Xenopus tropicalis: one gene and its partners. The protein of the gene in region 3 purifies or fractionates together with the protein of the main gene of each other region. This does not show direct contact. Links are inferred from orthologs where the notes say so. Each region holds a gene or a part of one and is shown on either strand. Other genes may lie near its edges.

Region 1 (3,655 bases), on a different chromosome or scaffold from region 3:
CTCAGAACTTCCCATGCTGGTTACTGGAAATGAATATCATTCAGTAATGCTGAGTTTTGCCTCCCTAAACAGCAGCTGTTTCATGCAAATGCTGTTGAGACATAAGGTTGCCATTTCCCATTCAACAGAATGTATTACTTGCCACTCTTCTGCTTAGGAGGGCCACGGCAGACCACTGTATAACATAACCCGTAAGGTCTCTAACATTCTGTTTCACAATATTATTACTGCAAGTAGCTGCAACAAACAAAGTTAATTTTCTATACAACTTTACCTTGGAGCACATGGGTGTTTGTATTGGGCTGTTTTATTAATATGGTCCACATAATACACTCCAAATTCTGCTGATTCAACTCTCTCCCAACCAGGGGGCAATCCTTCCCTTTCAAGTGGATGGCTCCAATGGGTAGTGTTTGTATTGTGATCTATGTAGTATTTCCTTCCTCTTATAGTCCAGTCCACTGTCCAGCCAGGTGGCAGAGGCATATCTTCAGTACTATGATTTGTTAGATTTCCTAGTGACGTAGCAGCAACTCTACCAATACCTAAAATAGTAAAGCAAATATTAACTGTGCATTGTCATTGTGTCCTAAGATATCATTTGATAAATAACATTAATCCATACATGAAGGGGAATTCAGCGACACAAGGATCCCCAGTTCACCAAAATATTTTTTTTTATTTCCCTTTAATTGCTACTAAGAAAGCCACTCAGCTTCCCTCTACTTTACATCTGGCACATGCCTCCAAATGACTGAGTAGGACACTCAATTTATTATTGAATAAACCTCTCTGTCTCAAGTCTTGGCTCACATTGAAAAAGTCAAAATTACATAAATACGGGGGGGGGCACATATAAGAAAGAACAGCTGTAATGGCAAATACACGTGTATGCATTTATAATATATGTATTTAAGTTTTTCCTTGCATTGTGTCATAGAGACAAAGTAATGAAGCAACAACACATTTGGGTGCTATTGGCCTACGTATGTGACACAGGGATCCCAAATCACCAAAATATGTTTGCAATGTGGAATGGAAATGAAGCACAAATTTCTTTGTTATCCTGTTTCTGGCAAGATTCTGGTACGATTTTGAGGGGTCCCATAAACAACTATACAGGAAATTCAGAGATCTAAACTAAAAGGACCCATGACATGCCATGGGAGGGAGGACAGCTCTAACTGCCAGACATGATGAGTGATGGAAAGGGACCCATAAGAATGTAACAGTTCAAAAAAAAAAAACGAACAAAAAGAAAAGATCCTATAGGGATGTAGATATGGTTATAATGGGATAAAGTCGTAGTAAAAAGTCTGATATCTGCAAGCCATTACATCTTGTCTCTCGTACATGAAGGCCTTTCAAAGAAAAGCGTAGTAAATGTAAAGAATATTACATATAAAAGGTAACTGTTGTATGCCTTAAAAGACAAGTGGTCTAATCATGAATAAGAACAACCACTGTTTTACCTGAAATGAAGCAGAGCAATGCCAGTACAGGTATCAGACCCATTATCTGGAAATCCATTATCCATAAGTTGGGAGATCCAAATTACAGAAAGACCCCTTATCCAGAAAACCCCAAGTCCCAAGCATTCTGCATAATGGGTCACATACCTGTACCAGATATAGTTTCAGACATGAATTTTTTTTTCTTCAAAACTACATGAATTTATACTTTATTTCACATTGTATTTAGATATTGGAAAGCTTACTTTTCTGTGACAACAGTATCTCTTTTAGGAAAAAAGCTTAATCAGAATCTTGCAAAGCTTAACACACTCAAGGACAGTTGGTTATATGGCATCAAACAAGCAACTCTATAACATTTTTGAGAAAGGGAGAAAAACAAACAAGCCAAATCTTGTCAAATAACGAGCAGCTTGCCTTGGAACAGTTTCTCTGGGCAGATAAAATGTTTGCATTCTGTCACTAAATCTGTTCTCAGTAACGTTTTACTAAAGATATGATAAGCCATGACGGTCCAAACTTCAATAAATGGAAGTGCATTCAGTCATCATTCATTCAGTCAACTGTACAATGGGGGTGTGTTATTTTAAAGGAGACATACTGTGTGTCCTTTTCCAAGATGTGGAGAGGGCCGGTGGCACACCGTACTGTAGGATATGAACCACTTTGCAGCCAAACGCACCTGACAGTGAACTGACGCCTACCTTTGCTTGCGTGACTGCAGGGCTGTGATTGGCTATCCACCTCCTACTGTCCTTCTAGCGGGGGCCGTTAGGACAGGCTCATCCCTCATTTAAAACACGGACAGGGACTAGAGAGTGCAAACAGTACAGGGATCATATTAGGTCCACACAGAAACATTACAGATGGCTTCACCTACCAGCTGGGTGCCTGCCAGGTGCCTGTACAATCCTCTGGACATGGTCATTGCTGTTCTCATAATATCTGTAGTCTTCATGTACACGATCCCCAACTTGTCTTCTCCTCTGTCCATCATATTGAAAATCTGAGCAAAAATATCTGCTGTTCACATCTCCATTTTCCATAACTGCACTGGAATCTGTTAAAAATGACTGAGATGAGGAGGCATATTCCCTGGGAACATCACTTAGTCCCCTTACTAAGTAGGGAGGTGCAGAAAGTCTATTGCTTTCTCTGCGCAAAATTTCTTGTGGAGCTCTCTGAACTGGTGTTCGCAAAAAGCTTTGGTTCCTAGAAACAGCTCCATCTCCTGGGGGGGTGTAGGGCGTAGTATTTGTCTCTGGTGGGCAGATATCAGTCCGTCTCGGTATAGTTGGCCCATGGCGGATAAAAGAAGGCATCAGATCTGAAAGAAGAACAAACCGTGATTAAATAGTTTCTCAAAGATATATTCCAATTAATGAATATTTCATTATATAGAAAATTTCCAAGTATATTGTTTGTTCATTATAGTGCAAAGCAAATGCAATTATTGTGGGGGTGTACTTACGTTACACTTTATGGGCACTCTAATAAGGGAGGAGGGGGAGGGAAGCGAATGAAACATATATTTACAGGAATGGATGTTAGCATATTTGGCAAAAGCGGGCATACTGAGGCATTGGCTGAGGATCAGTGGTTCCCAAACTCTGGGACTGGCCTACTTTGGGGACTTAAGCCAAAGTTCATTTATTGAGAGCTATGTGGAGAATTACTATTTACTTAATACTCCTGAACCCCAAGTTTGAACACTAATTACAGAGAGATCTGGGATAAATCCTTATTTGATGTCCAATACATTATTAAAACTATGATTGAAAAAACTGTTTCTCAATCCTTGTTGTGAGTTAAGATGTGCCCTGACCAAATGCTTAACCTCAAAGGGGACCTTAATCCGAGCATTCTGAGAAATCAGTGCTGTAAAATATGGCAAGAGCACCATTTTTTTTTTTTTTTACTAGCAGAGCCAATATGCTAAGGAAGTGGGTAAATGAAACTGGGTAAAATGGACTGACTGCACAAAAAAAAAAATATTTGTAATTAGGCAAAAACGTAATTTATAAAGGCTGGAGTGGGCAGATATCTAACATAATGGCCAGAATTCTACTACTGCTTTCAGCTCTCTAACTGCTTCATTAGTCAGGACATTTAGGGGGGGCAATATCTGTTCAGTTAGTTTGTGAGCATGCAGGTCAGATTCAGATGCATACGAACTGAACAGT
Region 2 (3,655 bases), on a different chromosome or scaffold from region 3:
GTTATGGAAAGATCCCTTTTCCGGAAAACCCCAGGTCCTGAGCATTCTGGATAACCGGTCCCATACCTGTACTTGCAAGATATTCCCCTTGCATAATAGAATTCTATTTATTTGTCCTTAGGTAATCTGTGAGTAAAACAGTAGCCAAAAGTATGTTTAGGACAATCCTTGTTTATTAAACTCATGTTGGAAAGGGGGTATACTGTTATTTAACGTCACCACCTTCCCAACATCATTGCAACTTGTCTGTTGACAAAATATGGCTCCAATAGCTATGCAGTTTAACAAACTTACTCCAGAGGGTCTCTAGCTCATCTTGAAGTGTTGTTAAAAGCATGTAAGCAACTTGGGATAAATCTGGCATACAAGAAGAAAATTGCCTGCACTGTGTCCAATTATACTTTTCTTTAGTCTTGTTTACAACTCTTTTTCAAAATCCATGAGGCGCACAAACCTTTACAAGGCACAATACAAGGCAGGCATAAGGCAGTATAAATGCCTGCTCCCTGCAAGCTCTCAGCCTTTGTGTCTTGCAGTCTTGCTATGAGTTGTTTCTCAGAAAAGTTATATCAACACGGGAGCACTTACCGCCACTCATCCACGTGTGCTACTCACGGACCAACTCCCAATGGCCCCAAACAAGTAGATAACATCCAGAAAAAGCGGAGCACCACGTGGTGAAAAATAAAATCAGTCTTTACATGTACCGTTTTAATGTGACTAAATAAAGACTGATTTTATTTTTCACCACGTGGTGCTCCACTTTTTCTGGATGTAATCCGTGTTTTCTGCCTCCATCCTACTGACCTTAGTTATGTGTGCATACCTGCTTATGTGCTGCTGTTCTTCTAAGCATCGGTGAAGGAAATGCTATAGCAGTATCTGGCATTCTAAAGCTGGTAGAGCACACTGTAATAGATTGATCTAGTCCATCACAAGTTTCATTTTTTAACATTTAATTAAATCAGCTTTAGTAATTTTGTTCATCTTGTAAAAAAGCACTGTGTACTATGTTGTTTTTCAGGCTGTAGAAAATTTATGCTCCTATAAAGTTTCTCATACCCTTTACAAACAACTTCGTCAAGTATGTGAAGAACATATGAAAGCTCAAATCCATCAGTTCAGGGAATATCCTTTTCTTAAAGACTTATATAGAATTCTAAGGGCCACACTAAGTTTGACCCTTTTTATTAATTTGTTCTACTATAACTGATAAATGCAATGTGCTGACATTTTAAAAGAATGTGTATTACAGAACCCTTAACTTCTGATATGTGTGCACAGATTCTCTAGACAGCTTTTTATTTTTAAAAAAGGTTAACAGATGTTGGAAGGATCACTGCCGACAAATGGTAAGTGTACCATTGCTTTTGTTTGTGTTCTGTGAAATTCCATAAGTAAGGGTAAAGTTGGTGTGGGTACTGATTGAAAACAATGTTTAAAAAAAGTGTGTATTTATGAAATTAAAACTTTAGCTGTCATAAAGGTTTTGTGTGTGTGTGTGTGTGTGTGTATATATATAAAAATATAAGAAACAAAAATCCAGACTCGTTTAAATGAAAAAAGAAAAAATCTTTACTGCATTGTGCATAATAATTGCATTACTTACAACGTTTCAAGGCTCCCGCCTGTTTATCAAGTAGCAAGATGTATATATAGATATGTATGTAAAGAAGCAGAGAGCCGCACACACAGGGACTTTGCAAAAAGATAAAGCATTTATTGAAAAAGATCCAACGTTTTGAGCACTAACGGTGCTCTTCTTCAGGGAAAAACCAGATAGATATGTATGTATGTATGTATGTATATATAGATATACAGGTACGGGATCCCTTATCCGGAAACCCATTATCCGGAAAGTTCCGAATTACAGAAAGGCCATCTCCCATACACTCCATTATAAGCAAATAATTCTAATTTTTAAAAATGATTTCCTTTTTCTCTCTAATAATAAAAACAGTACCTTGTACTTGATCCCAACTAAGATATAATTAATTCTTATTGGAGGCAAAACAAGCCTATTGGGTGTATTCAATGTTTAAATGATTTTTAGCAGACTTAAGTTATGGAGATACAAATTAAAAAAAATGAAAAATAAAAACCTGCTACAGGAATGCCATCCTATCTTTATCTAAGTGCTTTAGTTAAAGGAAATCTATACTTCCAGAATGAAAACTTAACCAACAGTTGATTTTATGTTAAGTGACCTAGTAAGAATCTTGCCAAACTGGAAATATATGTTAGTAAACATTGCCCTTTTACATCCTTTCCCTTGATCCACCATTTAGTGATGGGCTGTGTGCTCCCTCAGAGATCACGACCCTTAATTCTTAAAATGGCAATTTTCTATTTAGGAGTACACAATGGTACATACTACTAAAAATATATTTTTACAAAAATGGTTTATTTAGATAAAGCAGGGTTTTACATATAGGCTTGTATATGCAATATATTTTTATAGAGACCTCCATTATTTGGGGGTATAGTTTTCCTTTAAATACAAAGGGAGAAAAATGTGGGTCCCTTAAGCATAATAATATGTTATCTCTGTTCTGCTTTTCTCCTCTGTAGCCCAACACCCACACCAAAAAACACTTTTGGAATTTGTATGGTTTTAGTATAATGCAGATATAAGCAAGGCAGTTAAGAGTGGGTAAGGTCAAGAAAATAAAAGAAACTGCCCTTTTTCCACACTACATAAAACTGATTTTCTTATGTATTTTATGGATGTTACATGTAGTAAACAAGTTTTCTGGTTATTTGTGGTTTAAGTCAGGCCTGGACTGTCAATCTGTGGATTCTGGCTAATGCCAGACTGGCTGCTGTAAGATGCAAAAGACAGTCATTATTAAGTGAGCTGGTAGGAGGCTCTTTGTGCATTTGAAAGGCTTTTGTCTATTTTGAATTCTATTCCAGGCCTGGGTTACATTATAGGCCTGTACAAGATTAAGTATATTCATTTTTGCTGAAATAGTTCTATTAAACTTACTAGTGTATACACATATATTACCTATTATATATTAGGCATTGTAATATTATACTCTTCAACACAACTTTAACACAACTACTTAAGACCCAAACTTGAATTTTTAAAATAAAGAACCCTGGGTAAACTGGAAATTTGAATATTACTGGAAATGTTTTAGCTTAATTTTTACTTAAATTTTCTCTTTCTCTTTAGATCATGATCAGAAGTATTTTTTTATTTTTGGATCGTACTTATGTCCTTCAGAACTCAATGCTTCCATCAATATGGTGCGTTTATAGTATGTGTGTGTGTGTATATATAATACAGTAATATATATATATATATATATATATATATATAAATCTCATTAGCAGATTGACACAGTGGCTTTACCTTTACATACGTTGTTTAGAAGTATGTTATATTTACTGTCTGATCTATTGACAAACATTCCAACTAAGGAATGTACTGGAATTTATGTAAAACAGTGTTTGCAGCAGCAAAAATGCTTACTGGATAAATTTGGCCTAGTTCACACTAGTATGTAATATTCTTTCTCTGCACAGGCTGTTATCAAATGTACGAGTTTTGTCTTTTTTTTTTTTTGCTACATGTTTTTTGCCACTTACAACTGACCATATATTAAGTCATTTCTAAGTACTCCCTCTGATGTCAGACCACACATTT
Region 3 (4,087 bases):
CAACATATATTCACTTGCCAGAGAAATGCCTTAAACCACACATGCTAAAAGCCAGCAAAAGCCAAGATGCCCCATTAACACACAATAATTTTAAATGGAAACACCTCGAGTGATGAACATGAAGCAGTGAAAGGTAGAACTCCACCAATAACCATACTTAGTCAAATTACATTTCATGTTATCAGAAGCTGTGACAGGCAGACATACTGTAGCTGTTTTAACCATTGCTGGTTTTCCCTGACCACAGTGTCAGCATAACCCCCCACATCCTACCCATGTGATGTAGCACTTAAGGTAGACATACACTGTAAGATCCACTCCTTTGGCGAGGTTACCAAGTGAGTGGATCTTCTCCTGATATGCCCACCTACGGGAGGGCTATATATGGGGCTAATTCGTTTGCATTAAAACGGCGGGCATAGCCGCTGTCTGTTCGGGGACCACATCAACGAGCTGATGTGGTCCCTGATCCGACCGAAAAATCAAACCTGCCAGTTCGAGATCTGGCTGATTTCATGCCAAATGTCGGTCCAGGAGGACCATCATTGGTGCCCATACACAGGCAGATAAGCTGTTGAATTGGTCTAAAGGATCGATATCAGCAGCTGAAATTGGCCCGTGTATGGCCACCTTTAGGGGAATTGCAGATTGGGTGATGTCAGAAAACTTTACACTTCATGGGTAACAAAGCATCCAAAAACACATTTGAACTGCACCATATGTAACTCATCACAGATAAAACTCTCTTTTTTTAATTTATTTATTTATTTTTTTAACTGCTCCAAAATGTTCTGTTCTGCATGTTTGCTGAACAAAGTAAGAAGTCCCTTTTACAAGCGGCAATTTACAGAGGACGTTATTCGGTTGTATTTCTGGTTGCTTTGCTGCTGTGAGGAGAATGATTTCATGTGGGCAACAAAATGCCCTCATCTGCCATTGGGCGGTAACATCAACAGGAGAGCACTAATAACTGATGTGTTGTGAAAAAAGCACTTCTCCACATGACAGTATCCCTTTAAAATACAGACATAAGGGTAAATTTGCAGCCTCTCTTTACTGCTGCCTTGCAAAGGGATGTCAGTAAAACCGCCTCCCTCAGCTAATGTGAACAGAGCCTCATCTGTTCAGCCTGCCCTCAGAACAAAGGACAGGCAAGAAGAATACAACTCTCCCAGACACCTGTCCGGAAGAAATCTGCTGTTTTAACGGATAGGAGCTCCAGATTTCTATCCTGCTAATGCTACCCAGCTTATGGCTAATAATAACATGCTGGTGTATTTTAATGGATTGAGAAGAGGCCAAAACTGCCCATGGTGGCTCCAATTTATGTTGCAGTTTATGGTTTTAACTGCAGCTGCAGTCCAGCCTTGAAATGCCCACGTCAGCCTGTCATTATTCTGATTAAATCAAGTAAAATAAGCTGTGGCTGAAACATACAAGAAGCGTTCATGTGAGTATTTCAAGACACGGTGGTCCAAGTTTTATTGCTCCATGTACACCATTCAAGCTTCCTCTAAGTTAATATTACAAGGATATTTTAGCTTCTGTGGACTCCTGGAGGAAAAAAGACTGTGGGGCTCAGTTATCAAAAAAACAAAAAAAAACTATTTGCACCAGGGCAGAAACCCACTGCAACCACGGTGACTTTTTCAACTAGGAGCAATAACAGCAAAAGTAAGGTTGGCCATACACAAGCCAATAAAAGCTGCTGACTTGGTCCTTCCAACAGGCCTGACCGACCAATATCTGGCTAAATTGTTAGATTCACATCTGCTTATTGATGCAGCCCACATCCTGATTTACACAGTTTTGATAAGTGACCCCATTGTGTCCGAATACTGCTAATATATACAAAACTGATAAATTACCTGCCTACTTTCTAAAACAGTACAGGTGACTATTAAAATGCTGCAATGCACATTTTTGGCCTCAATGCATCCACCGGTCATTGTGCACACAGGGTGTATTTAACTTAGGTACATATTTTCGTGCATCATTTCTTTCCAGTGTTTGCAGTGACAGGCGGATGTCACTCATGTCACTAGTTAGAGAAAAGAAGTTTGGTGTGTTAATGAAGTATTTTCCACCAGGGCAAAACTTACAGCATTTAAACAAGTTTTGCTTAGTAAGGCAAAGAAAGCAATCATAATTAACAAAATTCTGGATAGTGGCTGAACTGATTCATTGAGGTCTTGGGTTGATAAATATTTTTACCTTAAGAATGTCTACTAATAGAAATACATAAAATCCTACAAATAAGAACACCTGTGTGAAATATAATTTGAATAATTGTGAACACATATCAATCATATGGCCCCCAACATTTATTGCAAATAATCATAACCTGGCCACACTATTCCACACCTAGAAAAATGCATAACTGTCTATGTAAAAGCAAATTACCACCATTTCATTTTCTGGAAAAAGAAAACTTCTGTGTGCACTATCTATATCTTGTGAAACCTTTTTTTCACAGAACTACTGTATTATCCGAGTTTGGAGATAGCGCTGGTGGTGCACCTAGACATTCTATCCAAGCGTTCTGATCTTACTTTGCAGACTTCTTTGTTCTTAACTAGAACTGGGTTCACTTTCTAACGAATAGTCATTCCATGTCTAAATTAATCGATCAAGAACACGAAAACGGTACAGTATTACGAACATCGAACAACACTCGATCACAACTTTTGTTTCTTACTTCTGCAGAAAAACTACTCGTTTTTCACGGCACAGTCCCCTCCTAAACAAACAATTCGTACATACCACCACCCAGGTTCACATGCACTTTTAATTTTTTGAGCAACTAAATTACTCCTCACAAATAAAGGGTTACTTACCAGTTACTTCACAAATCATCCCAAAACCTCAGCCATTTTGAGCTTTGGGCTTATATGACTTGTAGATTCCCGGATGTAACTTTTCCCCCTTCACAACCTCCGGTTCCTCCCACTGTCAACTGCCGGCTGCCCGCCTACACGCAAGAGCGTTTTGACTTCATCACGGAACAGTCACGTCGGAGTCACGTGATGCTGACGCCACAAATGTGCATTTCTTCACTAGGAAGTGGTTTGAAGTACTGTACGGAGCAGCCAAATCTGTTTGTTTTGGTGCCTTGAACGCCTTTTGTAGGTGTCGTTGGTCGTTATTTGAAAGTAAGTCACTTTTACTTCCCTATACTTTTTTCTTCCCTATACTTTTTTCTTCCTACTTGTACTGTGTCCAAACTTCATTTTTACGTATTTGGTTTCTGCTTAGGGTCTAGGTCATCTGGGGGTTCCGAAAATAGTCTTGCAGGCTGGGTGGATAAATCTTCTTAGATAACTGTTTCAACTAGAGGTTTGGGAAAGGAGGTTTTCAACTAAATACACAGAACAGATATGGTTACTGTTTAAAATTATATCAGATTACTACCACTACTTTTAAAGGAATTGTTCAGTGAAAAAACTGGGTAGATAGGTTGCGCAAAATAAAAAAAAATGTTTTCAATATACTTAGCCAAAAATATAATCTTTAAATACTGGGGTGAGCAGATGTCTAGCCAGAACACTACTTCCTTCTTTGCATCTCTCTAACCTGTTAAAAGTTGGTAGCCAATCAGTGACTTAAGAGAAGGTGGGGGGCAAGTTTGACCTTAATGCCTATATATAACCTGCCTAACTTTTAGTTGGTCCAGAGGAAGGCAAAAAAATCCATAAACCCCTGATGCCTCTCTAATTTGCCACAGAGGGTGAAAGAAAATTCCTTCCTGACTCCAAGATGGGAATCGGACCAGTCCCTGGATCAACTTGTACTAAGAGCTATCTCCCATAACCCTGTATTCCCTCACTTGCTAAAATGCCATCCAGCCCCTTATCAGTTGTATCAGTATGACTGGGAGGGAGTTCCACAACTTCACAGCTCTCACAGTAAAAATTCCTTTCTGAATATTTAAACAGGACCTCCCGTATTCTAAACCGGGTCGGTGTCCCTGTGTCCGTTGAAAGGACCTACTGGAAAATAAAGTATTTGAGAGGTTATTATATTATCCCCATATATATATATATTTTTTTTTTTTTATTTATGCATTTATAACATATAACAACATGAA

What was found. The genes of interacting proteins can lie anywhere in the genome.
Region 1: the proteins of lats1 (region 3) and sav1 purify together in Homo sapiens (affinity purification with western blotting; 3 studies listed by BioGRID). This does not show direct contact. The link is inferred for Xenopus tropicalis from reciprocal best matches to the Homo sapiens genes LATS1 and SAV1.
Region 2: the proteins of lats1 (region 3) and cul4a purify together in Homo sapiens (affinity purification with western blotting; 3 studies listed by BioGRID). This does not show direct contact. The link is inferred for Xenopus tropicalis from reciprocal best matches to the Homo sapiens genes LATS1 and CUL4A.

Annotation. Positions count from the first base shown.
Region 1 is NC_030684.2:93,078,947-93,082,601, forward strand, and holds part of sav1 (protein salvador homolog 1), read right to left. Parts: intron 2,800-3,655; coding exon of another isoform or gene 2,795-2,799; coding exon 2,353-2,794; intron 546-2,352; coding exon 275-545; intron 1-274. UniProt on the Homo sapiens protein: Regulator of STK3/MST2 and STK4/MST1 in the Hippo signaling pathway which plays a pivotal role in organ size control and tumor suppression by restricting proliferation and promoting apoptosis.
Region 2 is NC_030678.2:116,025,179-116,028,833, reverse strand, and holds part of cul4a (cullin-4A), read left to right. Parts: intron 1-1,024; coding exon 1,025-1,128; intron 1,129-1,282; coding exon 1,283-1,352; intron 1,353-3,181; coding exon 3,182-3,255; intron 3,256-3,655. UniProt on the Homo sapiens protein: Core component of multiple cullin-RING-based E3 ubiquitin-protein ligase complexes which mediate the ubiquitination of target proteins. As a scaffold protein may contribute to catalysis through positioning of the substrate and the ubiquitin-conjugating enzyme.
Region 3 is NC_030681.2:58,191,947-58,196,033, reverse strand, and holds the start of lats1 (serine/threonine-protein kinase LATS1), read right to left. Parts: upstream 2,941-4,087; 5' UTR 2,838-2,940; intron 1-2,837. UniProt on the Homo sapiens protein: Negative regulator of YAP1 in the Hippo signaling pathway that plays a pivotal role in organ size control and tumor suppression by restricting proliferation and promoting apoptosis.